Linked DNA regions of Astyanax mexicanus. The protein of the gene in region 3 interacts with the protein of the main gene of each other region in a pairwise test. Links are inferred from orthologs where the notes say so. Each region holds a gene or a part of one and is shown on either strand. Other genes may lie near its edges.

Region 1 (7,543 bases), on a different chromosome or scaffold from region 3:
ATTTAATATTCATTGCCTGTTTTTCACAGTTTTTCACAGTGAACTACAGTTGATTCTATAACCAGAACTAAACAAGTACAGGTTACATTTTCTATGACTCATGTCTTCTTATGTAACACACTTGAGCAAGTAGAGCACATTTATTTATTAATAATTCATTTTAAATTTCAAATCAACTTTACATAATTTGCAGATTAGCTGATGAATAGCAAGATACAGAGAATATCATGCTGATATGGAAACATTTTACCCATCCCATTTGTTTTTTAGACAGTCATGAATGCATTGCATACAGTATCCAGATGATAAAAATTGTTTTACTTGCTAATTTCTGAATTTAATGAAGTGGTGAATTTGTCTTATGCTTTTCACATTTTATAGTCTTACTAGTGGGAACAACAAAACACATAAACAATCCTTTTAACTCTTTATCTACTGATGCCTTTTTTGCTTGTTTTACCAATCATTTTCTGTGCTTTTTTTTCCCAAAGTACTTGTTTTTTTACAGTTTCAGCTTTCATTTTCTTCATTTCTTTGTCTGCATTAGTAAAAAAAAAAGGAGGATTAACATTTGACATTTATTTGTTCGCTACATACAACATTAATGTAGCTATTAGACTACTTCAGTATGCTTCAGCATATGGCACAGAATCATGATGCAAGTTAGAGATTATTAGGTTCTGGACCTTGGCGTGAGACCTTTTTGGATTTTAATCAAATAACCCTCTCCTGTTGCATCGACCAAGAACCCATTACATTTACATTTAAGCATTTGGCTGATCCTCCTATCTGGAGCAGGTAGGCAAATGTTGCATTCAGAGGCTTGCCCAATGACTTTTATTGGTGTTAAGTGGTGTGAACTTTCCTGAATGGGAAATCAAACCTTAATTATAAAGAAGACAGTGTTGTTATCCACTACACTACGCAACCCACAGTGGACCTATCCTGTTTTGTCATCTGTTTGCTTGTTTTTTTTCCATTTTCTCCCCAATTTACACAGCCAATAACCCAACCCACTCATTAGGACCCCAACATCAGGAAAGTGAAGACTAACGCATGCCTTCTCCGATACATCTGAAGTCAGCCACCGCTTCTTTTCGAACTGCTGCTGATGCAGCATTGCTGAGTAGCATCTCAGCACGCTCGGAGGAAAGTGCAGCATCTCGGTTCAGATATATCAGCTCACAGATGCCCTGTGCTGATCTACATCACCCATAGGAGTGATGAGGGGAAAGAATGCCTTTTATCGTCCCTGAAAGAGTAAGGCCAATTGTGCTCTCTCAGGGCTCCAGCAGCTAATAGCAAGCTACATAAACAGGATTCGAACAATCTCCCGACCGGCAATCTCCCAATCATAGTGGCAGCGCTCAGCCCGCTGAACCACTGGACCACTTGAAGCCACCTCTTTGCTTTTATTGAGTATTGATGCAACAATGTATGTCGACTATTCAACACCAACTGCAACAGTCAACAGTCTATAGATGATTAACAATCCATCAGTTCTAGTTTTTCTAGTTCTTGGCTCATGTCTAGAACTTGGTCATGTGTTCTGGATTAAGTACTTGGCAGAGCACCACAGACAAACTGACGAATGAATGTTAGTCATGCTATAATGATGTACTCTCATTTATATTTCATATTTATTGCTTGAGAGTTCTTGAGAGTCTTCTGTATTTTTTATAATCACAGTAGACTGCAGATCTTTTGATGATTCTATGATTTTATGATTGTCTTCTTATGTAATGCACTTTAAATTAAACTCAACAACATTTTAACCCATCCCCGTTGTAGCCAAAAGGTATATTCGATATTCTGCATCACTGAACTAATAAGCAGTACATTTTTTTATTATATATTTTCATTTAAAAGACAGACAGTTTTGGAACATCGCGTTCTTGACACATATTCAGTTTATTTTTATAATCTTTACTGGTGCAAAAAACATTGGTGCAAAAAATGATTTTCACTGCAAGATACTCTTTTGTACCTCTATATTAGGGTACAGCCCCAGCGACAAACTTTGTACTCTTTTAAGTAGAAATCTGTTCATATTTCTTTAGTATATACTGAATTTATTTTTGTTTGTTTTATTAAACATTTTCTAGCTCTGCTAATGAATCATGAACGAGCAAAATATGGTTATTTGTTGATACAGCCATTTATTTTGACAGGTGCAACTTTGTTTGTCTTAATCTTCTTTGTTCAGATTAAACAACAGGAGGATCGTCACATCCCAATAGTCAAAAAACGTGCACCCGTATTATTATTATCATTATTATTACTATTATTATTTTATTTTTTTATGTTGTCTTCTATTGTTGACACTTGCAGAACTAACTGACACCATTCCAGCGCATCAGCTTATAATACAACAATGGTATCTGTCTACCATCTGTGATAAACAACCAACGTGTCTTGGTCTCACGTGGTCTGGAACACTGTGTACACTTCGAGTGCTGTCCAGGACCCCTGGTGCTGAAGCTGTGGTAACTGCGTGGCAACCTGCCCCACCTAATACTGTGTTTTTACCAGCTCAAATCATACCCATGATCGTAACCATGAACATTTCGGAATTTCGGAATTGCGCAAATGACGATGTCGGATAAGCATGATTATTCTGTCTTATTTTTCTTTCATGCGTCATACTCTTCTGTAACATCGCTTTCTGTTATTTCCTCAATCTCAGAGTTCTAAAGCTTTTAAGTTTCAATACAAAAATGCTCAGACATCCCATACACACCATGACAAGTGTCCAAACAGCAGTAAATGTTATGACGCAGTAAGGAAAAGCACTTGCCTGAGCTGTAGTTGTAGGATGAGGATGGGTCGGTGTGGTGAAGATGCGCAGCTTCCCTCAGTCTGATTCCCTCAGTCAATCTCCAGCTTTGTTGTTTGATGGATTATGTATCGTCCTGCCCCTCTTACATATGAGATGGTCTACGAGATGATCTCTCCTGCTCTGGTTGGTCAGACCAGGAGATCGCACTTTCTCTGGGAGCTGCGCTGCTTCAGGGCTGAATATGACTGAGGTGCCAAGTGTGTTATGTAACACAACAAGGCTTAACTCTTACTGTACCAGCAGCATCAGCAGGAGCAGCAGGCTCAGGTTCAGAGGCTTGGTGCTAAAGATGGAGCAGCTTAGCTCAAAAGCTTGGCTGTGTCTCAGCTCTCCATGGTGCTGAAGTTCTATACAGTAAGTAGCTAATTACTGTATATGGCTCAGATTTAAATAGTGCTTATAGTTTTATGGATGTGAGAAAAAATAGACTATACGTCCTTGTTCACCACACAAATACACACTGTGCAAATGCACCCTCAAAAAGCTACACCATGATCCATCAGGTCCAACCTTGTCCCTTAAAGCGTGGAGAAAAACAACTGCAGGAAAGGAAATTAATATTAGTATAAATATTCCCCTTATCTAAAAAAAGACTGGGGTGGTTTGCCGCCATCTCAGGGGCAACAATGGTAACACCCCATTATCCTAATTTTGCACCGTTTATTCTGAAACTGTAGACAACAATTGCTAAGCTGTTGTTTTGTTTCTTTTGTCTTTGTTTATGATTTTTTTGTTTATTATTATTCACCCAAACAAGACGTCCTATCATCACGACAGCAATCATCACCAACAAGTAGCATTGACTATTGTATGCTGACAAACTGTAGCAAGCTGTAATCTAAAATCATTTGATAAGACTATAAAATACGAACCTACGTTGCGAACTGAGAGACTGTTTCTCCAGTAAAAAAAAAAAAGGAGACAACGCCATCTGGTGGTAAATTCCAAAAATGAAGTGAAAATGAACAGACTCCTGAAAGATGAATAGACGGATATACACGTGACAATCTTCTGCCAGCCAAATGATGGGTTCTGTTCTTGCACGTGTACGCCACACACCCATAAGTGTGCAGACTCCCTTTTGACGCTATTTAGTCAATTCAGGCATGCTTTGAGGTACCTCGGAGCCTAGTAGCAAACTACACAGTCAATTTGCCAGTGTTAAATCAACACATTTTGCCAGTTGGATTTCAAGCGAGAGGAGTAAGAGGGTACTCTTTAAAAATACCCTCTAATTACAGTACATGCTGTAGGTGGCATTGAGGCATTTAAGTGTTGGAAGACCAGGTGGAAATGTTACTTAATATTTGTCATACCTTAACCTGTGTATTGTGTTTTTTTTTCTTTTTTGGTTCTATGTGCTCCAGTCCTCTCTTTTCCTGTCTTGTATTGCCAGCCATGTGCTTTTTTAAGGACATGGCCTTGTTTTGTTATTGTCCTGTCTCTGCCTAGCTACTTTCTATCTATCAGTGTTGTCACCTTATGTCTTGTTTGTAATCCCGCCCACTCGTTTACCAATCCCAGATGTTCCTCACCCTCCTTGTGTATTTGAGCCCCTCTGTCTCAGTGTTTGGTGCATAGGCCTATGTGTTACTAAAATGCTGTGTCTCGGTCTATGTGCGACTGATTTTGTTTCTTATTTTCTTAGTTAACCTTATTTAAATTACATTTAATTTGTTAATTCTTCTTAGTTTTGTTTTGTTTAGTTTTGAAAATATTAAGGCCTTGGGTACACTGGCAGACACAATGAGAGGGCAAAAGAGATAATGCTGCTTGGTGCCCCATGGTTACAAAAAAGCTCCCTATTGGGTGCTGTTCTTGTGTAAAAAAAAAAAAAAAAGATTGCATGCCTGGAGCCTATCCCAGCCGGCACTGGGCAGAGGGCAATATACACCCTGGACAGGCCACCAATCCATTGCAGTAGATGCTGTTCCTGCATCAACAAACTCCTTTTTAATGGTTGTTAGGAGTTATCTTGTGAGTGAAGTTGAACACTGGCCAGATCCTCATGAAAAGCTGACGTAATTGTAAAAGTTTAGGTGAGGCCTGATAGTGTGTGCCAAATGGATGGGACATTTGTGAAAGCATTTAACTTTACTTGGTCCACCATATCATGGGTGTACCAAAATCTGAAATAGAAAATTGACTTTTTCTATATTGACTCTATCAAGAATTTATGAATAGTCTGACCAGAAAATAATTGTTCCCCCCTTTGGATCCTCTTAAAGCCACTATCTGTAACTAGGGGTTCTATGACCTTTATTTAATATTTGGTCTAATTCTCAATGGTGCTACCATATTTTTGCAATGCTGATTTGAAGTGCTACAAAAATACATTTGAATTAATTTAAGAAGAGACAATTGTGGTTTCAAAAATAACCATGATTGTAGAAAAGAACCTTTAACTTTGTAAAAAAAAAAGCCTTTACATCAAGAAAAAAAGTAATTCTTTATTTTTTTTAGATTGTAGTGTAGTGAGAGTACAGAAAGCAATGCTAAAGCTTTCTTTCTCTCATCGAACAACATAATCAAGTTAAGATTTAATTTAACAAAAATAAATAGCAATCAGTTAACTATCAAAGTTCATACAAAGACTGATAGTTGGTGCCAGATGGATTGGACATTCTATTTCTGAAAATGTATGGGCATTTAACATTCCTCGATTTCTCCATACTTGTGTATCAGGAATACGTCATAGAAGGTATTACCACTCACAATTGACAGCGCAGCGGCTGATAATCATCATAACCGTCAGCATCTGTCTTGTCTAAAAGTGCCCCTTCTAACTGACAAGCGTTAAATCACATCCACATTCAATACAGAAGACCCCAAACATAATCTACAGATCAGTGCAGAGTTCTTTTTTGCTTCTATGCGACATTAAGTGTATAAAGAGCTTTCAATTTCTTTTTTTCAGAGAATTGTTAAGATTGTTGACCCTAGGCATCAACAACACACCCTATTAATTTCCAGGTTTAAAAATTATTGTCCCAAAGTTCCACAGCCTATTTAAAATAAATTATTACTTTTCCATGTTAGACATACAATTCAGAGAAAACGCCTTTTACTAAATATTTCCTTAAGTTAAGGCAAAATTACAGCCTGGTAAAGTTATTTTCCTAACGAACTTAAAGAATCTAGATACGTTATTTAAGAAACATAAGACGTGTTAACAAAGTGTATCCGATAGGGGGCAGCAAAATTACAGAAAACAGAACAGTGCTCATCCACTTTTAAGGCCTTTGCGCAGATAGATGCCCAACACTGCCAACAAAAGGTTTAAAAAAAAAAAAACCTTGGGAAATAATTATCTTGTAACTCATAAATGTTATCGTCTGCCGGTTTGTATGGTCGATACACACTCGCGCCCAGTCTCTTATAGACCTAATTTATTTAAAAAACAAATAGTTAGACTTAAGCATATTTCAAATACTAGAAGAATACCAACTGTTTTCTAACTTTTTATATAAAAATTCACACAGAAACTTTTGCTGTACAATAAATAACAGGTACTCTGTTACTCTTTCTTTTTATATTATTAGGCATCTTGTTGTTTAGCTGATATTTTATATAGGCTATTATATCTACTATTTATTATTTTTTTTATGTGATCCGACCCGATTTGCCGTAAATTACTGTGATACGTATGTGGCATAGTTTGAAGTTGGAACTTTTTACTTTTACTGTAACTTTTTTAAATAACATGACATATTGAATGAATATATAAATATATATTTTTAGTACACCCTTTAATTTTATTCTATAGATATGCCCCCGCTGTAACTTAAGTCTGTACAGGTGTAACTGTAAAAAGCTCACTGTATTTTTTTCTGTAACTTTTTTTTAAAAGTTCAGTCCACAGTGCAGCAGACTCCACTCAGACATGCACAGTAAAACTGGACATATGGACATTATGCACAGTCAGTTGTGCAGGTCTGTGTGTGAGGATGTGAGGATGTGTGAGCTGCAGCCGGTGCAGCAGATCAGTGAGTGACTGTTAACCCCTGTCAGCACTTTAGTCTTGGCCTAAAATCATGCTCCAGCCTCCCCTCCCTCACCGGCCCGGACGTCCGGGGTGTCTGATTCTCCCAGTGGACGCATTCGCAAGTGTGGAGAGAGAAAATGAGAGAGAGAGAGAGAGAGAGAGAGAGAGAGAGAGAGAGCAGAGTTCTCCGGGATGTGCGTATCTGTGTAGTCTGGGTGTGTGGTGGTGGTGGTGTTGGTGATGGTGGGTGGGGGGTGGTGTTGCGTCTCAGTCCCAGTCCAGGCAGCTCTTTCCTATACAACACAGAAGGGGGGCGTGTCCCAGTGCCCCTGCTCCCTCTCTCTCTCTTTCTCTCTCTATCATTCTCTCTCTCCTATAGAGGCAACGCGAGCGCACCGTACTGCTGATACGCAGCAGTTCTCGCACGCGGCCCGTATGCGTGTATGTGTGTGTAGTGTGTGTGTATAGTGCCTGTGTTTGTGTGTGTGAGTGTGTGTGCGTTTGCGCTTTGGAGTCACCGTGGAGAACTCTGGGGTGCAGCGCTGGCACCACATCGCCATGGACGCCGTGCGAGCAGCGGCTCTCTGTGCGCTCTTCTTCTTCCTCTGGAGTTTACCGTGCTGCCAACCGGCCGCCATCATCTCTTCCCCGGTGCTGCCGCGCAGGAGCAGGACCAGCAGGAGCGCTCAGGACACACACAGGACCCCCAAAACTCTCAA
Region 2 (7,287 bases), on a different chromosome or scaffold from region 3:
AGAAAGATAAACACAGAAACCAAAGTAAATGCTCTAAATAATGTTACTCTAATCAGGGCTGCAGACCTTTTATGACCTTATCATCAGAAGAAAACTGAGAACATTAAAAAGCTGATAAAGCAGGTGAAAGACAAACTGGACTGAAGAAAGAGAACATAGCTCTTGATCTGCAGCTGGCCAGCGTGGAAAGGACTGTTAAAGAATGAAGCATCTATGAGGCAGTATTTATCAGACTTTAAAATCTACAGCTTTTGAGATGCAGTACAGGTTTAGAATATATTTCACTCTGCACTTTGTAATCATTAAAATTATTCAATATTCATAAAAACAGGCAGAACACATTTGTGTTAAAGTATTTGCAAATCACTTTGTTCGTAAATGAATACTTAATGTGTCGGTCATTTCAAAATCCTTGCAAGAACACACAAAATTTACACCCACTCCTGGCCATGAATAAAGTGTGTGGAGCATCACAAAAGTGACTGCACTTAAATTCAACTTCAACTCCAAACTACATAGAACTCATTTTAAACAAAATGTTGTTTATTCACAGTCACCTTTTTAAGCAAAGACATCAGCTTTAACAAATAATTGCATTTTCAATAGTATTAAACAGGTGAACAAAAAGTGCAAAGTGCAAAAAACTAAGTACAATGACTTAGAGGTTAAACTCTGTTGTCGATGAAGTTTCACAGTAACTTGAAAAACACTTCAATCAAAGTCAGGATGCTGTGACAGTTTTACATGCACTAAGTTCAAAATCAGTTACATTGAATCATCCTTTTCTTCAATGTTAAAATAATACTTCTACCACTTAATGTTCCCAAACCCCTAAATGAAGATTTAAACAGTAAAGGATTGAAAACAGAGATTTATGATGACAAGAACAACAATAACATAGAACAAAAAAAGACCTTAATGAATATTAGCTGTCTGTGAAGTCCTCCGCTGTCCTATCAAAGTGCAGAATACTGTCCTCCAGTCCAAAGTGGTCAATAAGCTGAGAGAGGCTGGCTTTCTGGCGATCTGTAGGTAATTCTGTTTGTAGTTCATACAGCACTGCTTGAGCACACCGCCTCCATTTATCTATCAGACTCTGCAGCTGGGTCAGATCGTTCTAATAAGAGAAAAAATATATCATTCACTACGGACACATTTTTTTTATTATCATGTTTTAACACAAACACAGATATATTCATTATGATATTTACCTTCTTTCTGTACATTCTGACCATATTCAGCCTTCGCAGAGTCTCAGCTTTCTCCTTGACATCTTTCTTTAATTTCTCTTGGAGGTAAAGTAACTCACTTTGAGAGGCCTGAGAAAGGTCAGACCCACATCTCTCCACACAGTCTTTAAAGTCTTTCTTGGTCTCATTTCTGTTCACATCAATCTCAGCCTCATCCTCTGTTGGTCCAGTCTGATCTGCCTCTCCGTTTAAACTGTGTGGTAAGTCATCTTCATCCACTTTAAGCCGTTTGACCACACTCAAAGGGGATGTAAAGGAAGGCCGTGATCTTTTTAACCTGGCTTTCAGGGCAGCACTCATGGGCTAGGAATAAATAGAGAGGCATTCAAACACTGCACCTTAAACCACACATTTTTTTTATTATTGTGGGCACATGTGTGCGAAGGTTAAAATTCTGATGTAACAAATTACACAAAAATGTCAGAATTTGTATTTAAACATTCTGTTCTATAAATTGTCAGAACTAGCTCTATGTAACATTAAACATTTTATTAAAGCATTTAAATTGTTATGATTGTTGGAACAGACCTATATCAGCAAAAATAAATTTTAAAGGAGCTAGTTTTATCTTCAGCACTAACTCTAAAATGGGGGGCCTTGTAAATCAGAAATCAGTCGATTCTAGAAATCAGTGGTGACCTTAGGTAACCTAGCCCTAGAATTATATTATTACGTTATATAATTATATAATTACGTTATAGCAGTGAATTGTTTTGACAATATAGGGACAATACAGCTACAGCTTCAGATTGCAGCCTGTGAGAATAAACGTAAACCATACATTTTTCAACCCAGCAATCCAATTTCCATTTATGTTCTTGATTTGTCTTTAGTTTGTAGTTAATTTATGTCACCTAAACTAAAGAAAACTTTTAAACCTCCAACAAACCTTTAAAGCCCAGTAAGGGTCTGTAAATTAGCTAGCTAACTATTTACACATGATATATCAGTAAATGTCGTTTGAATATCTAATATTTATTAGACCTAATCAAAGACTTAATGTTTTATATGTACTCCTAACTGTACAGTAAGTCACAAACCTATATTGAAGCACAGTCATGAAACAAATGTATGTGTGTATGTAACGTTATATATATATAGTTAAACTGATAACTACCTTGTTTACACTGGATCCACTTGGAACAGACTCCTGATGCTCTGATGAGAGTCTCACCGGTGTTTTATCCATAGCTGTCTGTCTGTCTGTCCGCAGCCAATTCAAAGTAGCAGGGAAACTTTTACAGCTGAAGCTAGTAAACAAGCTTAGCTTAACTAAAGCTGCGCTTTAAGACAGAGCAAGCATTAAGGAAACTCAGCACAGTCGATCTATCTTGTTAAATATGCAAGATCTGCAATTAAACAGCATGATTATTTGGCTATATAACGAACGGTAGCTCTGAAACTCTCAGCTGAAAAACAGCAGTTTACATTCATACTACCGCCTGCTGCCTCCAAATGAATCGTCACTTCCGGGTAACACAAGGGTTTCATGGGAAATGTAGTATATTTCCAAAGCTAAAAACTTGCATTTATCAAAATAGCACGTTTATATAAAGATCTCCTGTCTTTAATATATAGTTAATTGTGAAACGCATTTAATATGAGAATATAACTAGTCGTATAACTATAGTAAAAAGGAACTAGAAAGGTTTATTTATAAATAGTAAAGAAATAAGTATGCAGAAAAAGTGAGAAAAAAAAACCATTTATATATTCTTATTGCCTACAGTGTTACAGTACAACTACAGTTTCCATGCTTTCTCCTTGACATCTTTCTTTAATTTCTTTTAAAGGTGAAGTAACTAAATCTGAGAGAGGTGAGACCCACATCTTTCCATACAGTCACATACATTCCATGTGCCTCTTGGACTCATTTCTGTTCACATCAATCTCACATCATTCTGGAAAATCGTCTTCGTCCTCTTTAAGCCGTTAACCTTCTATTTGCCTATAATGTTAAATATTTGAACTCCCCTAAATTGCCTTTGTATTTTAGCTGCTTTGAAATTCACATAACGTTATTTGGTGAAACAGATAATTGCAGTATTTATACGAAAGTAATGGTTTAAACAGTCACATTTTTTACACTGTGGGTAGATAGTTGAACAGAATTCATTGTGTTTCAAGCAGCTTTTAGTTTAAAAGTAAAGGGAAAAAATGTAAGGGAAAAAGTTGGAGATATAAGGTACTTTTTTGGTAAGATTGATTTGATATAATTTAGGACCAGAGACCAGTAAAAAAGATGGACGCTGTGTCTCCGTTCCCATTCACTCAATGAAAATGAAGAAAAAATCTTCCACCATGTTGGCGATCCTGACACCCCAGTCTGCACAGTAGAGACCAGAGGAAGGAGAAAGACTGTGGAGAGACAGCCTACTAATTTGAATAACCCCGCCCCTGAGGGCTGCCTCGCGGTCACAGACTGCAGAGCGGAGCTGACGATCTATTACTGGTCCCACCCATAACCAGCCCTTTTACAATAACCACACCTTTTTTGAACAGAGCTGAATAACGTTTTAAAAACGAATTCTTTGGGGATATAAAAAATTGACAATATAAGCAGAGGTTACACTAGCTGTTGCATTTAATTAATGGAGGTAGAATTACAGTATATTAGAAAAATGTGTGATTGAAAGTTGTCTATTTTGCCATTGAAACCTATGGGGATGGGTGGGGTTACACTGCTTTCTGAAACCGAACAGCAGGGGGCGCCCGACCTGTGGTGGCTTCAGTTTTGCGAGACGATGCTCTGTCCAGCTATATACAGTCTATGTTTAGGACATATAGATGATAATACAGTCTGTATTAGATTATATTTTTTTACAGTAATGAGTGGTGATAATGGTGAGTTTTACATATAATTGTTATAAGGAAAATTAGGCATGTCAGCAAGAGGAGGACGGTCAGTGTGCAGGTAAGACCTACTAACAAGAAGTAAGTTAGAAAGAATATCTGGCTGGACTGGATTCCCTTTACACACTGAAAAAATACTTAATTGTCACTGGATCAATTACACTCTGAGCTGATCTATTTGGCCCCAGTGAGTTAGCACAGGTTTTTATAACAATTGTATATCATGCCCACAGGAAATGGGCAAGAAAATGGTGGTTAAAAGTAAGTCATAAATTTCATGTAGCTACAGAAAGAGAGAGTACGCCCTCCTTTTTACTGTACCACTCTTTCTTTTACAAGACCAAATGCTTGCCTTACGTGCGTTACCTATTTAATCAGAAGATACAGTTATTTAATTATTATAGTGCTGCTCCTTCTGCTTTTGCCTTCATCCACAGAATGTTGTGGAGATCAAAAAGTCAGCATGTCCCGGCTGGTGTTCAAAATGTTTACTGCTTGGAGTTCTGTATTGCTTATGGTTTCACCCAAAGCTAGAATTAGAGCCACAAGCTGCTTTCTCATAAAACAGCATAATCATCCCTGCTTGGTGGGGAGAAGTTCCAGTTGCAAAAAAGATAGGTGGAGTTTGGATTTTGGCTCACTGGGTTTTTCCAGTGATGATTACTATATAATGTGGTGTGACTAGGTCCTCATTATAGACTGTTTATCACAACCCACAGTTGTACTGTTCATGTATTTAATTAAGCACATTAAGTAAACATTGTCAGTGCAGGCTAGAAAAAGTAAGTGAACTCTTCAGCTTGATGACTTAATTAATCTAAAGATAATATTTAGCATCAATCAGATGTTGATTAGTTTTGCACAACATTGAGCGGGTACACCAGCTTCATCATGTATAGAAAGTTGTTTGCATCTAGGCATTGTTCACCTTTTTTGAGAAGAACATATTTTTCAGTATCAAAGCTTTGTTTTTCTTTATTAAATAAACAAAACACTTGTATAACCCACACTTTTATTTAAAACACTTTGGCAAATTAGCTATCCTTAAAAGCATTAACACAGAGGTGGGCTTCCTTTTTCTAGTCTGTGGACATTAAATTAATGTCCTTATTAAAAGACATGAACAGCACAAATGTATGTGTGTGTTTTAGTGTTTATTGTTTGCCTATTATTGCACCTGAGATCATTTTATTACTAATTTAAAATGATCAGTTAAGTAATAATCAGTGCAGGAATCTGCCAAATCAAATTCACAAAATCACATTGCTTGGAAAATATTTAGACCAGGAAGCAGTTTCCATTAATCAGAAAATAATGTTAATTAATTGATAATCCCTTCCACCTGGTTGTGAATGGAGCTTTAATGCCTAGACATTCAGGACAAGAGAATTGCTCTTTGATGACAACAATAACACAGGGCAGGTGTACATATCTACACAATAGCCTAGATAAAGTGTCAACTATAATGTTTCTTACACAATAGAGGCTGGGTGTGTCTTCTGTATCGACATGCCTTTGATGTGGTGAAAAGAGTTTTAGGGAGATTGCAGTTGTTCTGAAGAGAAAGTGTATCATACTGTAGACCTATGTGTTTTCTGCACACCAATGAGCTTAATAATAATAATATTAATAATTATAATAATAATAAAAGTTGCAACTCCCCTTTTAAAGCATATATTTGTATTCATAATAGACAATAAGTGATCAACATGTACCCACATTCAGCAGCAACATAATTAATATTTTATATATATGTATTCATACTTGCATTTTATATACAATAGATATACTGTATATTGTATATATGGACATACAACAAACACAGAAATGTTGATTTCTGTTTGTTGAAATCTTGTTTACAGGTCTCTGGTAAACCGAAGTTGATGTCATTGGACTGGTCCTTGTGGTTGTTTTAAAAGAACTCTGATGTAAGTAGATCAGCTGGTAATGTGTTAACATTTCCATGACAGTGCATGTTTAGCAGAAATGTAATGGCAATAAAAACAAGCCATGTCAGGTTTGCATGACATTCGTTTACCACACAGTGGACAAGAAGTGTGGCTATTTTCTTACTTCACCATTTTACTTGTGGCTGTGGACTTTTTCTAGCATAACAGGGTGGTGATTAGAGGGTCAGCATATAGTAAGACAGGTACTGTTTCAATCTAGCATTTTAACTTTGGGTTATGATATATAATAATAAGGTTATAATATTTGTAATATTTGTAGGTACAACCCAGCAATAATCAAATAGTACAGTACTGTTTATCTGGCATGCTTAATTAGTAAATTACATTCGGCTGAATCCTTGCATGTCTATACTTACCTTTTTTTTTTTTTTTAGATAATATGAATCTTGCCGATGTCCACTAAACATCCACCAAACGTTGTCATTTTGGTGATACAAAATTTTGTCCAACAGTGAAGATATAGATAGGGTCTCCAGGGGTGAACTCCCAATTATGTTGTTTTTTTTTTAGTTAGAATAGGGAGATTATCTTAAAATAAGCTCCCCCTTCAGTGGCATAACAACCTTCTTACATTTGTTTTATTTCCAAGAGACTGATAACACATTCTGCATTTTCAATAATTAATATTATTAATTTCACTTCTCATCTACTTCTCATTTTTCTGTGTTAATAGGGGCCAAAAGGAACAGTATTCTAATAATAACTTTTTAAACCAAGCATCCTGTTGAAAATGTTCTGCCTTTCTGCTACTGTTCCTGCATTCACACATGCTCAGGAGATTCCACTGCTGTTAGCTGTACTCTGTGAATCAGCCTCAAGTGATGGCACATGTTTGAAGTCAACAACTTTGTATAGCAACCAACCCACCAGAGTTGGCCTTCGTGGAGCCCTGGCTGTTCTGATGGCTGTTCTGTGGGGAGCAGAGGTGGAGTCCAGGCTGAACGTGAGTCATGTGTATTGTGTGTCTGGAAGGTGTGGTTAGCTGGGCAGCAGGACAGAGCTGAGCACGAGGGGAAAAGTATTTGGCTCTACAGGCCAACATTGGCTTTGTAGCTCAGGAAAGACTTTCGTTCACATGGAAACCAGTACCATCGTCATAACCAATCATTTGTGCTGCTCCTTTCAGAGATGGTGAATCATTGGGATATTATCCTGGATAATTTTCCCTAAATTATGCTACATTGCCTGGGCAAGTCAGATAAATCTGTTTAATT
Region 3 (8,082 bases):
TTCACCTCTAATTTCACACTGAAATAGCACAGCTATAAAGGACTGTGAATACGCCTGAATAGAACAGCCGGAAGGAAAAATTGGCTCTTTAGTGCATTATCCAGGTCTGTCTCACAGGCACAATGACCAAACTGGCTGTTGAATATATCAGAATACAGCATATTCAAAACATTCAGTCACCTAAATGATTCCTAGGTAAGTAAGTTAATGAGCTTCAGCAGACAAAATATACACCCTTCTGAGGTGAACAAGAGAAATGCTTTCATAACCTTTACCACAGAAAAGCTAATGACAAAATATCAGCCTAATCCTAGACTTAATTACACAAATGATCTCAACAAAAGGTTACATAGGCCTCACCAAGACTAATATCCACATAATAACAGCAAAACATATAAACTACAATCACAATATGAATAGTCCACTGACAAAACCACCAATTACGCTATTCTGAGTATGTTAGAAATAGGCCAGCTTGTAAAAGGACAAGGATGGTGATGGTAAAGGGCTGTTCATGTATCTAAGATGTAATTGTGTACCTTTAAATCTGAATTACACATTTACATTTCTTACAGATCTCTTCCACGGTTTTAATCATTTGATGTTACATACAAGCACCATTCCCCCTACACAGGTTCACAAAGTGACTGCAGACAGCTCCTCTTAGTGGATGAAAAGTTTACTGCAGGCATTGATTACTGTCACACACTTTAAATAATTCATAAATGGCAATTTTCATTACTGAATAAAAGTTCTCTTCTATGAGCATTTTTTAAACCTTTTTTTTTTTTAATAATTATGACTTGCATTTGGCATTCAATATATTTTTACATTCACATTTTTTCAAAAGTCTCAAAAATGTATGCTGACAATATATGCTAAATACGTAAATACAGGTGAGTTTTCACTTCAAAAATCTGCACTGACATTTTTCCAAACCATCAAAGTTCAGGCTTAGAAGTTGGAGCGTTTTATGATTTTGACCATCCAAGTACTGCCAAACACATTAAATAATGTAACGGTTCTGAGAGCATGCCAACAGCTTCAGCAGTTTTATTTCGAGAAGGTTTTATTTTCTCAGTAAGAGCAAGAACAAGTCCAAGTCCGTTATCAGGAAAGGCAAGGCCATTACTAGAACTAGTTGATTGTGGCGAATGTTAAGACCCCCCACAATATTTTCTTGTTTTATTCTTGATTAAACCAAGGCAAAATGAGGCAAATTCTTTACAGACACTACTCAAAATATTTAAAAATGCATCTTTTTCTATACTGAAGTCACTAAAGACTGAAGTGCAAGAGTTATTAGCAAAGGACTGTATCACAGACTAGCTATTTGAGTACTTATAGATCATGAAATAAATAAAAATAACATTAATAAATGATTACAGTTGTAATTAGAGAGTCAACCATATTTCATCTTATAACCTATGTCATCAACACATTATGTGTTGACTGTTGGCTGTTAAGGAGACATTGATCCCACTGGAGGACCACTGGAAACTCAGGTGCACTGCAGAAATTACTACTGTAGCCATATTTCTTTAAGTAAACTATAAATAAGATACTTATAATTAAAAGTAAAGTTTTTATTCCAGAGCAGTTCTCTGAATCTCATCTTGTACCTCTGTTTGAGGCTTTTCAGTTTTTTGCATTCCAACTTCTAACGTACTAACAACTTCTAACAGCTACACAACCTTTCTCTCAAAAAAGACTGGGCTACATTTAATAAAAGATATTGTGTTGTACAACAAATAGTCTAGAAAGGTCCCAGTCAAACAGCTATTGCCGACTCCTCCAGATACTGTACAGGATTTGACCAACTCTCTTGTCTTGCCTGTGTCTCACTGGTGGAACACTGGAGATACCCCTATAAAAAGAAAAAAAAATTATCATAGCACTGATGTTTCACTGTAATGACCTGCTAACAATAATCACCCCTTGAGAAGAGAAACTGAGGGGACCCAGAATATAAATGGTTGGTAAAAACATAAAAACACATTATAAAAAAAATAAATAAATAATAATAATAATAAAAAAAAAATACAACATGCTGTGTGAGTCACAGTCAGCTGTGTGTAGGTGAGAAGTGTTGCTAAAGTGAAATGTCACCATCACACTCTTTAGTGTTTGTCTTTTATCAGGCTGCCACGTCTACCCGTCATCTCCTCAGGCCACACTGGACTGTCATGACCCTGAGTCATCACAGAAACACGGCTGTATGTTTTGATATTTCACTTTTCCATGGTTTGTCTTCTGATCAGACTACACAAGTTAAAAAACAAGTTTGCTTTAAAAATGACTTACAGCTGCATGTTTCGCAAATATAAAGTTTACAGGTGTGTAATTCTGTTGTGTTAACTGAGCATGCTCAGGCATTATAGAGTCCATATACAGTACATCAACCTCCACAGAAAGAATCTTCATCTGCATCGTTTGCATTATCTACATCTAGTGTGAACAAAGACAACTATGAAAAACATGATTCTACAACTACATGACTGGAAGTAAAACATTTAGTATCTTTAGTTTTTAACAATGTAGCTGTCTGGTACTGAAACTTACCACTCTTGAACAGAAACTCTGCAGTGGATGGTGTGCATACCCCACGTCTAGTCCTATCACTGACCTCGATAGGGTCAACCGTTATACCCATATGTGGGGCCAACATGGAACCCATGGACCAAACTTTCTGTTTTCCTATTGGGTTACCCACACAGGCCCCATTTGGGCATGATATCTGAGCGGCTACCAGAAACAGAAAAGGAGAAAGTAGGTCTAAATTAATTGTATTTTACATCTGACAGACAGTGATACCAAGTTTAAATTTTTTAGATAGCGACATATTTACAAACATTACAAGTAAAAAACAGAAGCAAATGTGTATGTCTCAAATTAACTATTTCTGATGATGTGACATGATATGTTTGCACTTTTTACCACCACTTTACACCACCGGTTTAACAAAATATATATTAAGTTACTGCCTAAATAATTATTAAAAGAAACCACAGTTCCAACCCTGCAATGTGATTGGCTGCGAGGCGTTCTGTGAGTGCCATTATCAGCCGGTTGGTACAAGCCAAACAGCGCAGCTACAAACAGAGCAACAATGGAACTATTTTAACTTGCTTTTATAACCAAATAGATTGCATTTTCTTATCCTCTTTAACTACATTTTTTTTTAAATAAACAGCCATAAAAGAGCTGTGGTATAATCGCAATAATACACTCGAGGTTTGTGATATAGCGTGTAATATTGGCACTGCTTTAGGCATTAGGCCACAGGCCGCACTGCCTCTCGTGTATTATTGCTTAAATGACCACAAGTGTGTAAAATGGCTACCACAGTTCAATTTTACAGTACTGGTAAGAGCTGCTATGTGCCCCACCCCCTCCTACACAAACAAGTGCAAAATAAGCTCATGATGAATTTTACAATGCAAGCATAGTTGTTGATTAGCTAATGTATGTATTCACAATGTTTAATTGTGATGGTGAGTTAATATAAGCCATTAGCTAGTTAGTTAACCTGCAAAATCTGAAAATATAACACATGGGACATTCCAGGATTTCAGAGATGGTCACTTCTGAAAATTTGATCTTCAATTTGATCATTTTAGTCATATATTTATTAAACACAGGTAATAGACTATCAAAAAGTTTGATTTGTCAAGCTCAGGTATCAAAGCAGTTTTTTAAATTAAGTTGTGGTTTACCTCAGGAACAGATGCTAACTGTAAAATTTAGCTGTGTATACAAGATCAAGGACAAACATGGTTATATAATTATATAAAGAAAAAATTGACTATACTCATTATTAGTCTTACAACATGAGTAACAGGGTTGCGTTCACTGAGTGACACACACAACTTGGACATTTGGAAAATTGTTAGAGCACTTACTCTTGGTCTTGCCATGTGGGCAGAAAATGTCCTTGTGATGTAACTTCCTTTGTGGTAGTAGACAAATATTTTTAACTCTTTCTCTGCCAGGTAAAATTCCTTATGGTAACAGGGTTGCGCGCATGTTGTGGGACACATATCAACAAGAGGAAGTAATTTATTTAGAGCTTATTTTAATTGTTAAATTTGCCAAAGGAGTTGGTCACCCAATGTGTGGGACAAGAGAAAACAGCCATTTTTTGAGGTGGTCCAAACTCTTTTGAATAATATATAAGGAGCTTATTTTTCCACCATATTTTACAGTTTGTCTTATAACAAGTACATTTTTCACAAAAAATAGTCATTTAGATATTTTGGATATGTACATTTGAAATTTAAGTGGTCGGACAGGAAATGTACCAAAATCCTGGAATGTCCCACAAATTGGTCCTTTAATATCGACTCACACAGCAGTGGCTATATGTGAGAGCATAGACATTTATACATAAATATGTATAAATATGTAGAAATGTACAGTACAGGCCAAAAGTTGGGACACACCTTTTTTTTTCAATGCGTTTTCTTTATTTTCATGACTGTTTACATTGAAGATTCTCACTGAAGGAATCAAAACTATGAATGAACACGTGGAGTTTTATGTACTTAACAAAAAATGGTAAAATAACATATATATATATATATATATTCTAGTTTCCTTAAAATAGCCACCCTTTGCTCTGATTACTGCTTTGCACACTCTTGGCATTCTCTCAATGAGCTTCAAGAGGTAGTCACCTGAAATGGTTTTCCAACAGTCTTTAAGGAGTTCCCAGAGGTGTTTAGCACTTGTTGCCCCTTTGTCTTCACACTGCGGTCCAGCTCACCCCAAACCATCTGGACTGGGTTCAGGTCCGGTGACTGTGGATTCCAGCTCATTTTCTGTTAAGTACATAAAACTCTACACGTGTTTATCATAGTTTTGATGCCTTCAGTGAGAATCTACAGTGTAAATAGTCATGAAAAAATAAAGAAATCGCTTTGAGTGAGAAGGTGTGTCCAAACTTTTGCCCTGTACTGTATATATGTAAATATATGTAAATGTATATGATGTAAATGTATATAATGTCTATGTGAGTGTTATTAGTGGCTCCGGGCCGGTAGGCCGCGCTGCAGTCAGAGAGCCGGGGAGCGGAGTCAGAGCTCCAGCTGAAGGAGCTCCGCAGCGGAAACAGGGCTGTTGTTGTGATGGTGGAGCAGGTTGGGCTGTGGCCGTGAAATAGACAGTAATGTTAGCGCTGTTTTTATAGGTTAATGTGGACGGGGTTTGTTGTGTGAAGGATAAACCGCTGTTGTTCGCTGTGCTGGAGGCTGTGCGGCCCTGTATTGAGGTGAGGTCTTATTATTATTAGCGGGTAAACACGGCCTGTCCGGGGGAAGTCCTGCAGCTCAGTGTTAGCTGGGTTAGCTTCATTTAAACAAACAGAGTCAACAACTCAGGGTCATTCGGACAGTCAGGAAATCGTGTGGCGTTAAGAAATGACTTTAAACTGGGCAGTGCAGACAGAGAATTTGTACATCTTGTTAGCTCTCAAGATGTCAGATAGTTAACTCAGCTATCTGTTAGCATTGTAGCTAATCTAGTTTAGCTAGCTAAGGTAGCTACGCTAGGTTGGCTGGCTGGCTATCAGTCTAATGTGACACATGTCAAAACTAAGATATCCACCTGCCATCTCCACCACACATCCCTGTGTGCTGCCAAGCAGGGATCCACTTTTAAAGTATCTGTAGTTATCCGCTATTCAGTAGGCTCTTGGTTTTCTGTTTTACAAAGAAAACATTAGTTATTCAAATGATTCATACAAACATAGAGGATTGGTGTTGTTAGGGTATTGGTTTATAATGTTACGGCTGACCAGTGCATTTAATGTTAAAGTGTGCTTTCTGTTTACAAATGAACAAATGAAAAAATAAACTGAATGTGTCTAAAAACTAAATATCTTAATGATGAATCGTGCATATATTTAAAGAATATTGAGATTTTTTCCTATAATAATAGCACAAGGACAACAATAATAAGCATTATTATTATTTTTTAGATTTTTTTTTTATTATTTTAAAAGTTGCAATATGAATAATTATTTTAAACGTTTTAATAATAGACATTTTAAAAGTTACTGGTTCTGGCTTGTCACAATAATTGCAATATTGATTTATCGTATAATAAATTAACACAACCTCAATAATTTTTGATAATCGTGATATCGTCTATTGTGTTTTTTTGTATGTTTGTCCACACATATAACAGTGAATAGTATTTTAGCGAGTCATGCTTTAACAACTGTGACGCCATAACATACACACAGTGTGAACTAAAGTAGGTGAAGAAATAAGTATATCATTCCCAGACTAATTAAAATAAATTGTTTTTTTTTTTCCTTTAAAAAGTGTATAATTACTTTTTTATGCTATTCTGTTTTCATTATGTCAGTGGCATTTAATAGTCCTAAAATTACATAAATATCATATATCGCAATAATTTCTGGGACAATAAATCGTAAGGTAATTTCATGATTGTAATATAGACAATATATATGTCAATATATATATATATATATATATATATATATATATATATATATATATATATATATATATATATATATATATATACTTTTACTATATCACCCAGCTCTCACTGTGAAATTACATACACCAGGGGTGGTGGCTTTTTTTACTGTTCATATCAATATCAGAATTGTATGATATCGACCGAAATTAAAAAAATATATTGAAATATAGATTTGTCATATTTTCAAACATTAGTATAGCGTGTGTTTTCTGTGCAATACCACCTAAAAGAAGGTATTTTAACATTTTACAATAGAATCATGTAAAATTGGTGAACAGCTATTTAAATTTAAGAAGTGACACCAGAGTTTAGAGTCTTCGACATATAATAATCTTATAGTTTTGTTCGTCTACTTTAGGAAGTGCTTTAGAATCTCTTTTCTTCCAAACCAGCCTTATACTCATGCCTTTTTGAGTTTGTAATCAGAATGTACCTTTTCTAGGAGGCAAAATGACTGCCATAAAGCATGCTCTCCAGAGGGACATCTTTACTCCCAACGATGAGCGCCTGCTTAGCATCGTCAACGTCTGTAAGGCCGGGAAGAAGAAGAAGAATTGTTTCCTGTGTGCCACAGGTAAAGAATGATGCGTAGTGAGACACCAGTTTAAAACGCGTCTGATATTAGATTATTATGTAATGTTGTAGAATTCAGAGACTGCTAATATTTATTCATGGCAGTTTGTAACTGGGAATGTCACTGCAAATTTACTAATTTTTTCTGTTCCAGTGACAACGGAGCGCCCAGTGCAGGTCAGGGTGGTAAAAGTAAAGAAGTCAGACAAAGGAGACTTTTACAAGAGACAGATGGCCTGGGAGCTTCGTGACCTGGCTGAGGTTGATGCCAAAGATGCTAACAAGGTGAGATTTTATATTTAAAACAAGCTCACATTCTGTAATATTAACATAACACAAAATAGTATCACATAATAGTAATAATAAGAGGACGAATTGGATAAATAACATCTTAAATTAAGTAAAAAAAAAAAAATGATTGCATTTTCACATCGTCATAAAAATGATCTTGCCTGCAAGAATCGTGTTTTTAACATTGACATAATTTTTATATAAAAAAAATGTAATCTGGCTGTTGTTCTTTGTTGCATCCATTTGTATATACAATAAGAAATAAATAATTTGAGAATCATTCTTATTGTTTGGGTATTGACTAATCTGTTTTACTGTTGTTTCTTACTAGTATTCAAGTTTGTTAATAAAATTTGTATTGAAAATGCCAATTCAGACACGAAAGAACAAATAGTTTAATTTAAGATAGACTGTCTGTGATGGAACAACTACAAATGTGCAAGTGTGTTTCACGTGTTCGTTTTGATCCAAGGATTATTGAGAATTTCCACGTTGCACCCTCAGAAGATTCAGAGATTCTGTTTCCAGCCATTCTCTCTGTCTTATCGTCTACTTTGACTTCCTGCAGGAGAATCCAGAGTTTGACCTACACTTTGAGAAAGTGTATCGCTGGGTGGCCAGCAGCACAGCAGAGAAGAACTCCTTTATTTCCTGCATCTGGAAGCTGAATCAGCGCTACCTGAGAAAGAAAGTGGAGTTTGTAAATGT

Evidence for each region.
Region 1: the proteins of exoc1 (region 3) and sybu interact in a two-hybrid assay, tested with the Homo sapiens proteins (2 studies listed by BioGRID and IntAct). The link is inferred for Astyanax mexicanus from reciprocal best matches to the Homo sapiens genes EXOC1 and SYBU.
Region 2: the proteins of exoc1 (region 3) and sfr1 interact in a two-hybrid assay, tested with the Homo sapiens proteins (2 studies listed by BioGRID and IntAct). The link is inferred for Astyanax mexicanus from reciprocal best matches to the Homo sapiens genes EXOC1 and SFR1.

Annotation. Positions count from the first base shown.
Region 1 is NC_064413.1:30,411,700-30,419,242, reverse strand, and holds the start of sybu (syntabulin), read right to left. Parts: upstream 3,023-7,543; 5' UTR 2,798-3,022; intron 1-2,797. Other genes in the region: gdf6a (growth/differentiation factor 6-A), read left to right, coding at 7,383-7,543. UniProt on the Homo sapiens protein: Part of a kinesin motor-adapter complex that is critical for the anterograde axonal transport of active zone components and contributes to activity-dependent presynaptic assembly during neuronal development.
Region 2 is NC_064414.1:38,354,189-38,361,475, reverse strand, and holds sfr1 (swi5-dependent recombination DNA repair protein 1 homolog), read right to left. Parts: upstream 2,706-7,287; 5' UTR 2,440-2,705; coding exon 2,368-2,439; intron 1,554-2,367; coding exon 1,212-1,553; intron 1,118-1,211; coding exon 926-1,117; 3' UTR 523-925; downstream 1-522. UniProt on the Homo sapiens protein: Component of the SWI5-SFR1 complex, a complex required for double-strand break repair via homologous recombination. Acts as a transcriptional modulator for ESR1.
Region 3 is NC_064408.1:63,951,410-63,959,491, reverse strand, and holds the start of exoc1 (exocyst complex component 1), read left to right. Parts: upstream 1-5,082; 5' UTR 5,083-5,269; intron 5,270-6,952; 5' UTR 6,953-6,960; coding exon 6,961-7,084; intron 7,085-7,237; coding exon 7,238-7,368; intron 7,369-7,942; coding exon 7,943-8,082.